Drosophila melanogaster: one gene and its partners. The protein of the gene in region 1 purifies or fractionates together with the protein of each later gene. This does not show direct contact. Each region holds a gene or a part of one and is shown in the gene's direction. Other genes may lie near its edges.

Region 1 (3,395 bases):
TCGGCGTCGCCATCATCCTCGATCTCCTCGGTTGCCAAATCCTCCAGGCCCTCGGTCAGATTGTCCTGGGACTCGGAGAAGCTCTGGCGCTGCGACTTCTTGGGTGGGTAGACAAAGTCCACAAGGCACACGAGCAGCAGCCCCAGGGCAGCGCCCACGAAGATGGTGGCGATGGCGAAGAGGGCGTAGGAGCCCCACGTGGGCAGTCCGTATTCCTCCTGCAGGCGCCCGTTGAAGTCCTTAAAGAGTTTTTGCGTATGCTATTAGTACATGAACCCAACATACAAGACAACAGCAGAGAGCAAAGACCAGAGTAATGAGTGATGGGCGGCAATCTTTTGTGGGTCAACGGGATCAACCCGCTGATAAGCTTCCGCTTATGTCTCATGCAGTGAACCGATGCGATAATGGGCTAGGTGAACGTACCTTCAGAGTGTGCGAAAGCTTGAAGAAGTAGGACAGCACGGACATGTGGGTGGTGTCGGGCTTCTTCCAGGCGGACAGCGGTTCGATGCTCTGCCACTGCTGCTTCTTCACGAAGTAGAGGAGGGCGTCGCCATCACGGGCCCCACGATACTGCCGGAACTCGCCATCTTTTACGCTGGAAATGATTGACGTGGATTACGACGATGTGTATTTCATGGGTTGAAAAGGTCTATGTGGTGCTCACTGGTAGATGGTGGGGAGGGCGGTGACAAAGAAGCGTCCACTCAGCGAGGGCGAGGTTGTCACGTCGATTTTGGCCACCTGCACCTGGACATCCTTGGCCACGCGGGCAAACCGCTCCCAGGTGGGAGCCAGGTTCTTGCAGGCCGGGCACCATGGAGCAAAGCTGTGAATGGAGGGAGAAACATATGTTTAACACAGCTGCCGATGAGTCATCGTCGCCGCAAAGGAATGTCTGGTATTTCGGAGAACGAAAGAACCAGCTTGCCGGCTGGAGAAAGCCGGCGCACCACGCCCCTTTATGTTACGTCAGGGGCAGCGGGGTTTCATGTGGGTAGGGACTACTCAGAGCCACCCTTTCGCACTCACAACTCGATCATCCATTCGCCCTGGAGCATCAGGTGCCAGTTGTCCTCGTCCAACTCGATTAACTTGCCACCTGGCTGCAGTCCTGACTGCGCTGCTGCCGTCGACTGCGCCGTCGCCGCCAGCAGAAGCAGCGCCGCGCATGTCGCGGCCACAAAGTACGATGTGCTATGCATGTGGTGATGTTTTGGTGCTTTGCTCCGCCGATTCGTGTCCTGAAACCTGTGACGTTCGGCTGCGACAGTTTCTTAAATTAAACTAAAGCTTCCGTCTTGGTCAGTTCCAAAAAGTTACAGAAACTGCGACGCCTGCTGGAAAATTGACAGAAGTGCTGGTTCGATATCCATCGGAGATGGCAAGCCGCTTTATTCCCCGCTAGATCATCGGTAGGGGGATTCGGTCGGTATTCGCTCGTTACACGATTTTTTATTTATTAGATCAAGCTTCAAGTTTTCTTACATACAAATTCAATTTTTATCGTATCTTCAAAATCATTTTAATTATAATAACTTATTTTATTGAAGCCTCTGCAATGTCAAGCTATTTATAAGTCGATTGAACTGCATACAAATACTACATTTGTACCATCGCTATTGCAATCGATAACTCCAGACAACAACAAAGAAAATAAAAGTTTACGAAAACATAACAAAATTCGACATTTTGGAAGTTTCCCTCGCCACAAGAAATGGCCCATAACTACCTGCAGCCAGTGCACGATCACTTCGATGACGTGGACAGATTCGAGGACGTGGACGACGACCTATTCCTGCAGAACAAACGGACGGGAGCAGCCAAGCTTCCGCAGCAGAGGAGCACCAATCCCTTCGAGATGGATGACGATGACGAAGAGGAGATAACCTCGTCGCCATCAGTGGCCGCACAGCGACTGGCCTATGCTGAGAAGCGAAGGGCCATTGAGCAGCGAACTCTGGACTCTACCAACAAAAGCTTGGGTAAACATGGGGTCAATTGCCAGCCAATTAAGGGGCGTTATTGATGCGTCTCTCTCCTACAACCCCCAGGTCTGCTCTACGAAACCCAGGAGGTGGGTAAGGCGACGGCCGTGGAGCTGGCCAAGCAGCGGGAGCAACTGGAGAAGACATCACATCAGTTGGACGAGATCAGCTCCACGCTGCGCTTCAGCCAGCGCCATCTGACTGGTCTGAAGAGTGTCTTCGGCGGCCTCAAGAACTACCTTTCGGGCAACAGGGACCAACCACCCACCGCGACTGGTTCGCCCACGGGCAGTCAGTCCTCCCAGGAGGCCAATAGCAACATTAACCAGGGTGCCTGTGGCGGTGCTAGCCCCTCGGCTCCGCTATCACCAGCGGAGCGCTACGACAATCATCCGGTTAGCCAGCTGCGTGGTGATCCCAGCAGCACCTACCAGCCCCAGCGACAGGCGGCCAATCCCTTCCAGGCCCAGATCGATTCCAATCTGGAGGAGATGTGCAGCAACCTGTCGGTGCTGAAGATGCTGGCCACCGATCTGGGTGGCGAAATTGAGTCGCAAAATGAATTGCTGGATAACATGAACTACAAAATTGAGGATGTCGACTTGAAGATTCACAAGCAGAACAAGGACATGAGCAAGCTTCTGAAGAAGTGAACAAGCGAGCATTCGCATACTATTGTATTGATCATTGCTTAGAATAGCCCTCCCTTAATATACAAATCTTAGCCATACCATATCGCACGGTGAGCACTTCACAAGGCCATTAAGAATGCATTCCTCATTATGTTTCCTAGTTTTTTATTGTTACACACACCAAAACAATTCTCTCAATGGAGTGCTCGTAGTTGGAGAGCGATAAGTGTTCAGTTTTAAATAAAGATTCATATAAAAAGCAAGTATATCTGGCCTAGTGTTTCCCCGTCTGGATTGGAATACATTATACATTTTCGGAAGATATCTCGAGTTGCAGTGCTCGCGCCCTAATAAAGATATATAGTTCTTTGTTTGAATTCGATAACTTCCGGACAACAGCGACCAATCGATTCGCTAAAGCTATCAAGCAATCGAATTCCAGTTGATACCATCGCTGGAAAGCTCTTTTCTCAAACGCATCCAAAAGAATAGCGCCAACTCAGCGCATTCCGGAATTCGTTTCGTAAATATTCTGTAAATTTTGCGATAATGGAAGAAAACTTCGAACCGTACACCCCACAGTTGCTCAAGAATCCCTTGTCCTATTCGTGAGTAATAAGATACATATTAAAGGCACTCATGACCACGTGCAACTCATTCTGCAGGGATCTCGTGAAAAAGGGCGTTGAGTTCGAGGTCGACAATTCGCAGCAGAACCATGCCAGGGATCTGGGTCTCGACAGCGACAGCGACAGCGACTACGAGGATGCGC
Region 2 (6,376 bases), on another chromosome or scaffold:
GACAGCTTCATCGTTTTTGTTTTGTTAAACTTAATTTGGCTGCGAGAATTTGTGATAGTTATGTGAAAGTGCGGCGGTTGTGTCATTTGGTGAACCAAATGTCAAATTTGATCTACATACAGCCTTTGACATACTAATCAAAATCTATTTTGTGTGTCATGTACTCGCGTTACAGGAAAAACTGGCCAGATATTGTCGACAGCGACGACAGCGATGTGGATAATCAGATAGATGTGGACAACCTGCCACCACTGGAGGTGGGTCCCGGCGAGAACCGGCTGCAGCACACATACTGCCTCTGGTTCTCTCGCAAGGAGACGCAGCGCGCGGCCGCCGACTACAGCAAGTCGCTGCACATGGTCGGCCGGTGCGCCAGCGTGCAGCAGTGGTGGTCGCTCTACTCGCACCTCATCCGGCCCACCGCCCTGAAGCCCTACCGGGAGCTCCTCCTCTTCAAGCAGGGCATCATACCGATGTGGGAGGACCCGGCGAACAGCAAGGGCGGCCAGTGGTTGATACGACTACGCAAGAACAAGGTCGACCGGGCCTGGGAGAACGTTTGTATGGCGATGCTCGGGGAGCAGTTCCTCGTCGGCGACGAGATATGCGGAGTCGTGCTACAGACGAAATATCCGGTGAGTTCCAAAGATCCTATATAATGTCTTATTTGGGGAAACCATGCCAGAATACCTTTCTTAAAAATCGGTATTTTTAGAACCCATAAATATAGCAAACAATAGTAAATATCCTTTACAGGTATATTCTAAACAGATGGCTTAAACTATTTACTTTTCTTACTCGATTAAATCAAATTCGTTAGAAAATTTAATTGTAATAATTTCCTTCCAAGTTTCTATGTGAATTAGCATGTAATTTTCGTAACTTTAAATTTCTAATTGAACGAAGTGAATTTTTAAATATTGCTCCAATAGGACCAGTGTTGGGCAACGTTTCGTAACAGTTCACTACCCTTGGTGTTACTTAATTTTTATATTTATTTATAAATGCCGAGCATATATATTATTGCATTTTGCGGCCTATTCCCCAGTTCCTTTTCAGCTCGCGATTCGCTTTAACAAAAGTGCCGGTCGCGATTCATTCATGAAAATTCTCGCGCATGACGTATCTCAGTGCGAATGGGATCCACAAACAAACCCGTGCTGATTGTTGTTGCTGTTGTGTGGGACTGACGTAATGGAACTTATGTGGCGGCATTTTTAGCACATTTCAATACGCGTTTTGCAAAAGTGAAAAGACGAAAATGCCGGGCAAAAGGGAAAACAGAAACCACTTGCAGTTTGTTTTTTTTTTAACAATCAAACGTATAAGGCTTGCACAATAAAGTCTTGATTACATCAGCAAAATATTATCTTTTCCACGCTTAGCTTTTAAAATGAAGATGAGCAGATATCAATTAAATTATATAAAGAGAAATATCCTGTTCTATAAATAATATAAAATACCAAAATTTATAATATACCAGGAAGAGATTGCAGGAGCTCCAGCTCTTTCTCTTAAGATCCACATCCAAATACATCCACATAATCACTTGATTCGCGAATCATCGAAATTGTGAGAATTGGTTGGTGTCCCCGCTTAGTCCTGTTTTTAGTCTGGTATTTTTAGCTACTCAATGTAGTTATTTAATAGGAAATCATTGCGAACCGGAAGGTATATTCTGGTAGTGACGGCACGGTCACACTCGAAAATTGTTTGCCCGCGCGAGGTGCTGTGTTTCGTTTCGGCTCGCATCGAAATCACACAAAAAAAAACTCTTGGCCGCCGGGAAAATCGCGAAACAATATTTGGTTTTTTGTGAAAAAAATCAAAAAAATATTGTCAACACATTTGCCTCAGATAAATACAAAGAAATGTGCATGTGAAACGATTGGTGACAACAACAAATCGTGGAACCCAGACAACCAGTGTGCGAGAGCGTGATAGGTGGTCGTGCGTCCCTCTCAAACACACACCCTGAATCGGCGCCGACGACGCGTACGCAACAAACGAAAATAAAACGCAAGCGAAAAGGAGAGAGAAAGAACAAATAACGCCCACCGTAACACCCCCCGCGAATAAGAAGAAGCAAAGTAGATAAAGCAGAGAAAGACGAAGAAGCAGCAGCAAAAGCAGACGGCAGAATTGGAGCTTTGCGCAGAAATCGATTTTTTGCCCATTTTAAGAGATTTTCGGTAGCCTCTCCCACTGCCGAAAATCGTTTATTGCCACTGCTGCGTGCGTGTTTGTGTATGTGTGTGCGTGTGCCAGTGCGAAAGTGAAACAAACAAATTCGCCGAGTAAAAGATTAATATTATATGGTACCAGTGTGAGTCACAAATAACAAGAGAGAAAAAAACAGAAAAAAGAAAAATTAATTCAGCAGCAGCTTTAGCTTTTTAGCTGCTGGCATTGAAGAGGTGCTCTGCCGCAGTCGACGTCTCTGCCGCCGCCCGCAACACGAGCTCTCTTTGCCTCTCTCTCCGTCTCTCTTGTGAGCGAAATAACACCACACCAAACGACACACACACGAAAAAAGCATAATAATATTAACCAAAACGCCAGCCAAAGTGCCAGTTAAGTTATAATTATACACTAAAAGTAAACCGAGCAAAGAGAGAGCTGCCAGCCAAAAGCGGAAAATCAATAAAAGGTCTCTCGCAAAAGTGGAAAAACGTGCAAACAAGTTAAAAGCAAGGCTGCAAAAAAAGAAAAAGGAAAAACTCCGCGCGCGTTTACACGTGTGGTTTATGTGTGTGTGCGTGTTTAACGTTTAACTGCTAATCGCAAAAACGCAATCTGCGAAGACCGCGTAACAAAGGCTTACGTAAAGCTTGGCCAAGGGAAAGAGCCAAATAACAACGAAGCATAAAAAACAATATTTAAAAAAATCCAACAAATTTTGAAAACTGCACCGTAAACAAGGATAGTCCCAGAAATTCGAAACTCCCCAATTATCAAATCGAGAATAATCTTCTCGCACACCCTTCAAAAACCAGGATAATACCCCGACACAAAGATGACTAAAGACAGATTAGCCGCTCTCCATGCCGCCCAATCCGATGACGAGGAGGAGACGGAGGTGGCCGTCAATGTGGATGGCCATGATTCCTACATGGACGACTTCTTCGCCCAGGTGGAGGAGATCCGCGGGATGATCGACAAGGTGCAGGATAACGTCGAGGAGGTAAAGAAGAAGCACTCGGCCATCCTGTCCGCCCCACAAACGGACGAGAAGACCAAGCAAGAGCTGGAGGATCTGATGGCCGACATCAAGAAGAATGCCAATCGCGTTCGCGGCAAGCTCAAGGGCATCGAGCAGAACATCGAGCAGGAAGAGCAGCAGAATAAGTCGTCGGCGGATCTGAGAATTCGGAAGACGCAGCACTCGACGTTGTCACGGAAATTCGTCGAAGTGATGACCGAGTACAATCGCACGCAGACCGACTACCGAGAGCGCTGCAAGGGAAGGATACAGCGTCAACTGGAGATTACCGGACGACCGACCAACGACGATGAGCTGGAGAAGATGCTGGAGGAGGGCAACTCGTCTGTGTTCACGCAGGGCATCATCATGGAGACGCAGCAGGCCAAACAGACGCTGGCGGACATTGAGGCCCGCCACCAGGACATCATGAAGCTGGAGACATCGATCAAGGAGCTGCACGACATGTTCATGGACATGGCCATGCTGGTGGAGTCGCAGGGCGAGATGATCGATCGCATTGAGTACCATGTGGAGCACGCTATGGACTATGTGCAGACGGCAACTCAGGACACCAAGAAGGCGCTCAAGTACCAGAGTAAAGCCCGACGAAAGAAGATCATGATACTGATCTGCCTCACTGTGCTGGGCATCTTAGCGGCCTCATATGTTAGCAGTTATTTCATGTAAATCTCGAATGCAATTACTTACACGCCACATTCACTCCACACACACACCTCTCCACACACACACACATTATATATCTCATCCAGACCCGATCTATATACATAGGATGTTGCGCAACCCACCCAGAGAAATTGCAGAAGACAAAATCGAAACTTAAACTGTAAGAGACCGCAACCAGTGAACCCCCGATACAAAAAAAAAAAAGAAATGCACACGAAATTAGGGCTCGATTACACCAATTATAGCTATTATAATATATAGAGAAATCATGTATGGTTAGTAAGCAAGAGTCTCAAGTCCCCAGAGTCTATCCCAAAAACACATGAAACTCAAGTTATAGCTACCAGAATCTTTAGTACTTGTAAACAAATTGCTAATTGAAAATTTATAAAACCAATACGAAGAGAGTTGAAACACAAAAACTACAAGACACGTAATTGCAAACAAAGAAAACATGAAATTTTATTGATTATTGTTATAATGCGAAGCAAAAAAAAAAAACGAGAATTGTAATAAAAAGAAAGGAACAACACTACTCCACTCAAAACACACACAAAACACACTCATTGCAAATGCTTTGCAGGGAAAAGTGAAAGAAAATCTTGTTGATTTCCTCGTCGTTTTTCCGACTTTGAAAATGCATTTAGTTTTTGTTCGTTTAGCTAGTTTAGTTCTCCTGTTGAAAACTCACACAAAAGTAGCCTCATCACTCACACACTCACAACACCGATGAAGAAGAGAAAGATGCAACAAATCTCTAGTTCACTTTTGAATATTTATGATAAAAAGATTGTTTATTATGCGATATAATAACTATATTGACTATTTACTATAATGCTATTTACTTAACATGTTCATATTTATTGAATGCATATGAAATATATAAATTATACAAACACAGCGCATATATATATATACAAATATAAACCTAGATAAATAGCTAACTCGGACATTCTCAATGGAGATGATAATGCGAAACGAAAACATGAGAAGTTGAGGAAGTTGATGATGGAATGCCGATTTTAAAGGGGTAAACAATTCAATCACACTCACATATATAGACAGCTTCAAATTAATCGGCAAACAGTTAAATTTAAAGTTGATTATTCAGTTTTTTTCTTTGTTTTGTTGCGCAAACAATTGAACAAGTTTTTGCGTTTGTTGTTTAATCTACCGGAAAAACTAGTTTCCTTTTGTTGATTTCCGTTTTTTGTAATCGCCAGAAAAGTTAACAGAAATTAATGGATTTCGGTTTCAGCTATGATTTCATTTCTCACACTCACACCGCACCGCACACACACAGTTTGTAATACTTTTTCTTTCTAATTAACCTAATTTATTTTTCCTTTCTTTCCTCCCACCGATCCACATCTGAAAAACTAACAATCGGAATGCAAATTCAAAACTATACTACTCATACATAACATCTGGCATGCGGCTGTAAAATCCAATTTAACAAATAAAATCAAACCAATCAACTCAACTTTTTCTGCACTCACAATGAAAAACGAACAAATCATATAGAATCCAAGCATCCAAGTAGCATGCTCATCAAGGCCTATAATCTGCATTATCTACACACGTTTTGTAGTACAATTCGGAAAATGCAAAATCATTATAGTTACTAATAACAATAAACGCAATGTGTATGAGTTTTTGACAATTATTGTGATTAAGATACACGAAGAAATGCTTTCGCTTCTAAGTAGGAAATGCAAATTTGTTAATGCACCAAACGAACTGGTCACGCGAATTGGTCGATTTCTGTTTTGATCACACGAAATTACCAACTGCAAATGTCAGACCTGCATTACATGCACGTTTATTTCTTATTCAATTCGTTAATTCACCTTTTGATCTTTTGAACGAGCAACGAATAAATGGGAAAATGAAAACCCAAAACTGCAACTACAACAGCAATAGCGCAAATCAGCACGTTTTCACCACAAAAACAAGAGCAACAACAACTGCAAAAAAAAAAAAAAAACACCCAAGTTAACCGAACGCGTTCAGTGAAAAGAAAATCAAAAGAAATATTACTACTTCGTATTATGTCAATCAATCAAACTGCGATTTAATTTTAACCACATAAAAATGCAATCTAAAGGCCCGACAAATTCGAAAAATGATTAAAAATAAACGAAAAACGCGACTCCGCCCTGCCACGCCCTTACGTTCATTGGAAGTTCCAGTCCGGGTTCCAGTGTTCCAGCGCTCCTGACCCGCAGCTTCCAGCGCGAAAAACAGCTGCATTGCTCCATTCCCACACGCTGAGGTGAGTAATACGCTATAATTATTCAACATTTAGCATTCTTTTTATCGGCAATTCCCGCAATTACTCTCTCTACGTTTACGTTTTCCCTCGCGGCGACCATTGAAAAATCGCCGAAGGTCGCGTTTCCATGTCCTTTAAAGTCCCCATCGCCACCCTCCGCCCCTTTTTGAAACACCCACCCGCCCCCTTGAAGTTCCGCCCATTTTCTATTA
Region 3 (4,197 bases), on another chromosome or scaffold:
CCAGGCTGCCAAACTGCCATCTGGCTGCTCCTCCATATCCGAGTCCGAGTGGCGGGCAAACAAATGACATGGCTGACATGGCTGCAAGTCATCGGCTGGGAGCGTGTCGTGTTTGTCATCGCAGATACGCGAACACGCTAATATCGTAGTCCAGTCCAATCGAATCCAATCCAATCCAATCCGCTGGCACTTCCAGACACATGTGACAATTGCCCAGATCCCACTCCTAAAAACAACCTGTTGGCCGCTCTGTGTCGTTATGACTGTAATTGGGCGAAGTCGTCTGGAAAAGTCAGTTTCACTTTTGCAGATGATGAGCCGCTGATTTGGGTCAGCCACACCGCTCGAATCCATTCCAATCCTATTCGATTCACACCTCGCTCTGGTTTGTTTTCCTTGCTACTCATTGCAGGCGGCACATTTGCATGCAACAGCGAACGGTTACGATGCCCGTGAAGCGAACGGAGGTCTACAGTCGTCCCACCTGGAAGCACGTGGCCACGCCCTGCCAGCCGCCCACCTTTAGTGGCCAGAAGTGCACCAGGGTGCAGGTGGTCCACGAGCAGGCCTACAGGGACGTCATCGATCACAAGACCGCCCAGCAGATGACCTACGACTGCTGCACGGGATGGAGCCGGGAAAACCCAAGGTCGGATTCGTGCATGAAACGTGAGTCTTAAACAAAATACATAGATTGCAATGAATTTGGAATATTTTTATCTTCTAATTATTTACAGCTATTTGCTCCGCGCGCTGCCAAAACGGTGGCAATTGTACGGCTCCTAGCACCTGCAGCTGTCCAACTGGTTTCACAGGACGTTTCTGCGAGCAGGATGTGGACGAGTGCCAGACGGAGAAGCCATGCGATCAACAGTGCATCAATACGCATGGATCTTACTTCTGCCGCTGCCGTCAGGGATTCGTTCTCCAGTCGGATCAGCAGAGCTGCAAGAAGGTGTCCACGAATGCGGACGATGCGTTCGAGGCTCGGGATCTGGAGAACGATATCGATGATACGGACGCGGAGGTGGCCACGCGACTCCAGAAGATCGAAAAGTCCTTGGCCAATGAGCGAGTGCACACGAACGAGCTGCAAAAGTCGCTGCAGGCCACCTACAGTGTGGTGGACACACTCAAGAGTCGGCTAAGCACGCTGGTAAGGATTAGAGTTGAACTTCTATATTTGAATATTCATACTTTAACGATTACTTCGTATGCCCTCAGGAAAAGCAGGCTCAGGATGTCAGTCGACTGCAGACGAATCTCTACAAGACAGAGTCCCGGACGAACAAGCTGGAGGGTATGCTGAACCTGCTGCTGAAGTGCCGGAATGGCCCCAATGCCAATTGCCCCTAAACAGAACTGCATTTCCCCACGCTATTATTAAATGTTAGTTAACTTAATTGACCACTCCGTTCATGTGTAGCTAGATGCTCCTGCTTGTAAGCCATTCCCGAATGCGAGTCGAGTGCCTCTGTAGTCTGTAGAATTAGCCCACGGATCGGGCTATTAGTACTTAAGCGAGAACGTGTGTCATAAATGTATCGAGATGTGAAGTTTTAGACGTAAGCGCACCACCGCACTCTGCACCGCTCTTCATGTGGGTGGTGCAGTGATTAGTTTCTGCATGTATCTGTATATAATTTTAATGTATATGAGAAATCACTGCACGAATAAATGCATTTTCTGATTTTAATGGGTCTTTCATGGGATATTTAACAAAGGAAATCTATTTATCTGGAAGTTATCATGAAAAAAAAGGTAAAGTGCTGCAATATTTACTTTTATATATTGGCTACAACTTAACGCGCAACATAAAATTTGGTTATTTTTCCTTTTAAATGCAATAATGGTGAGTCAACAACTATTTTTATGACCTCGGCTGTAAGCTGACCTTTTAGCGGGGATTCCCACCAGCGGAGACAATCGATAACTGTAAGAATAATATCGAGTGTGGGCAAGGCTGCGCAATATTCGCTAGTATCGAACTGATTGCCATCTCTATCACCAATAACAAACAAATAATTGGACTGCACAATAGAATTATTATCAGTATAAATATAGGGGACAAGACCAGCATGATTGGAACCATGCCACCGTAGTTTCATTCACAACAACAAAGCACTACTCACTGGAAACATCCCGAAAAGCAAGCAGTGACGTCACTGGCAAAACAAAGCAAAAACTGCGCAGAAAAACCAGGGAAATCTGTTAAGCAAGGTCCATCGTTAAAAAGGGGCGGGGGGTGTTACAGAAACTGATCCCCCAGATTTCACTTTTACCACAATTAAAACTGATTAAAAATCAAAGCGCTGCGAGTTCAAAGTATTCAGTTCACGATGACGCGCGATGAGAAACTGCCACTTAAACAGGCGGAGGTCTCCATCCAAAGGTTTCAGGATGTGGCGGTAGGTTATTTACTATATCTTCTGAAGAGCGGAACTAATTCCTTAACACTCATAGGTGCCCCACCATCTGAGCCTACTGAAAAACCATCGCAGCAATATAGAAAAAAGCCTGGCGCTCGGCGACTGGCAAAAAATCAAAAAGGAGGAACTCAATGCTATGAGGGTCATTAAGCAGATCAAGAATCTACTTCTGGAAATGGATGCACTGCGAGAAAAAGTACGGGAGGAGGATCTGGAACGTTTCGACGACCTAATGAAACCTGGCAGGGATACTGCCTTCGCTGGCATGAAGGAATTTGCGGGTAAGTTTGAAATGCCATCTAAATTCTTTCGGCTTTACCAACACACCTACTGTATTTTTAGAGCTCCAACTCAAATCACCCACCTCCACTTTGAGTTCTCAGTACGACGACGATCTGGACAATCAGCCACAGGAGGTGGATATGAACAGTCTACCCGCACACCGCCACATGCCCCAGCTGCAACTCAATTTCCAGCTGGAGGAACACCAATTGGCGCAGAGGCAAGCCTGCCTGGATCAGATGGAGAACCTGCAACAGGAGATCTACGATCTGCACGGGATGTTCCAGGGAATGCGTCAACTGACTGCAGAGCAATCAGTGGCGGTGGAAAAGATAGCAGACAATGCGGAGGAAGCTCTGGAGAATGTCCAGCAGGGCGAATTGAATCTGCGCCGGGCGCTCACCTACAAGAAGGCCATGTACCCCGTAGTCGGAGCTCTTCTGGGCACCTGTGTGGGAGGACCCATTGGTCTGGTGGCGGGCATGAAAGCTGGAGGATTGGCGGCAGTAGGATGTGGCATCCTCGGCTTCACCGGTGGCTCTGTGCTAAAGGCCAATCCCAATGTAATGCATGGCAACATCGAGGAGGAGCAGGTGGAACCGGATAGCGAGTCAACTGAGAGACTGGAGCTAAAAGAGAAGCCAGAATGACCCGCAGGAGGAAGTGCCCGATCCGCATCCACGGCTCTGGCCACCACGCACATATGGTCGGCGAACACACGACGTTTGGAGGCAGCCACCAACGGAGTGATTTGCAGCGTGCGCAGCTATTGTTCCGTTCAGTAGAAATTTGACCACGATTTTAGTTCAATATCCCCATTTTGTGATTTTCCACGTGCAATAGAGCTAATGAGCATAATGTAACTGCACTTTAGTTTAAGCGTTGGATACTTGTTGTTCACATGACACCGCAAATGTGTGTAGATTTTAAGGCTTTAATATGCAATAATAACTCGTAGCTTTAAAAAAGTAATGATACTATTTGATTGCCATGTTGAGAAGTTCAGACTATATCTGGGTTTTTCAGAACTTGTTTGGGCTTTAATATGCAATATATACTCTTAGCTATAACATCTTTGTAGAAAAAGCCTACAAAATCTCCTAAACTAAGCGAGGACTTATAAACTACGATAAGATACCAGATGGGTAACCCAGCCCCGGATTTATAGGGGAACATTAACCGTGGTCCAGGCCTGTTTGAAGTTCTTCTTCTGCGAGTGCTGCTTCTTTCTTAGACGCTTGGCGGTCTTCTTCTTCTTGAACCACGCAGGATAATTGCCGTACTGATCTTTGAGGGTCTTGCTGTTGAAAATGTGCTCCACGCCCGTGTTCTCGTTGGTCACCTTGACTTTCTCGCCCTTCTCCAGACTCTCCTGGTGCTCGTAGATCAATTCCTGCTCCTCCTTGGATTTGGCCTCCTGTTTTAGGAATACAATTTCTTCTTTAATAAGGATATAAAATACGTAACAAGAATGAAGGTAGTATCG

Evidence for each region. The genes of interacting proteins can lie anywhere in the genome.
Region 2: the proteins of Snap29 (region 1) and Syx1A purify together in Drosophila melanogaster (affinity purification with mass spectrometry; 3 studies listed by BioGRID, with this or other methods). This does not show direct contact.
Region 3: the proteins of Snap29 (region 1) and Syx17 purify together in Drosophila melanogaster (affinity purification with western blotting; 4 studies listed by BioGRID, with this or other methods). This does not show direct contact.

Annotation. Positions count from the first base shown.
Region 1 is NT_033778.4:23,842,972-23,846,366, reverse strand, and holds Snap29 (Synaptosomal-associated protein 29kDa), read left to right. Parts: upstream 1-1,603; 5' UTR 1,604-1,720; coding exon 1,721-1,988; intron 1,989-2,057; coding exon 2,058-2,644; 3' UTR 2,645-2,884; downstream 2,885-3,395. Other genes in the region: CG5554 (uncharacterized protein), read right to left, coding at 1-260, 427-601, 671-832, 1,036-1,208; shu (shutdown), read left to right, coding at 3,173-3,231, 3,289-3,395.
Region 2 is NT_033777.3:24,101,084-24,107,459, reverse strand, and holds Syx1A (syntaxin 1A), read left to right. Parts: upstream 1-1,696; 5' UTR 1,697-3,016; coding exon 3,017-3,888; coding exon of another isoform or gene 3,889-3,892; exon of another isoform or gene 3,893-5,413; coding exon 5,414-5,432; coding exon of another isoform or gene 5,433-5,662; 3' UTR 5,663-5,860; downstream 5,861-6,376. Other genes in the region: CG10694 (uncharacterized protein), read right to left, coding at 1-11; eIF4EHP (eukaryotic translation initiation factor 4E homologous protein), read left to right, coding at 176-635, 5,414-5,662.
Region 3 is NT_037436.4:4,401,488-4,405,684, forward strand, and holds Syx17 (syntaxin 17), read left to right. Parts: upstream 1-1,999; 5' UTR 2,000-2,339; coding exon 2,340-2,408; intron 2,409-2,463; coding exon 2,464-2,710; intron 2,711-2,771; coding exon 2,772-3,361; coding exon of another isoform or gene 3,362-3,496; 3' UTR 3,497-3,681; downstream 3,682-4,197. Other genes in the region: slow (slowdown), read left to right, coding at 413-669, 738-1,156, 1,225-1,356; CG15019 (uncharacterized protein), read right to left, coding at 3,874-4,128.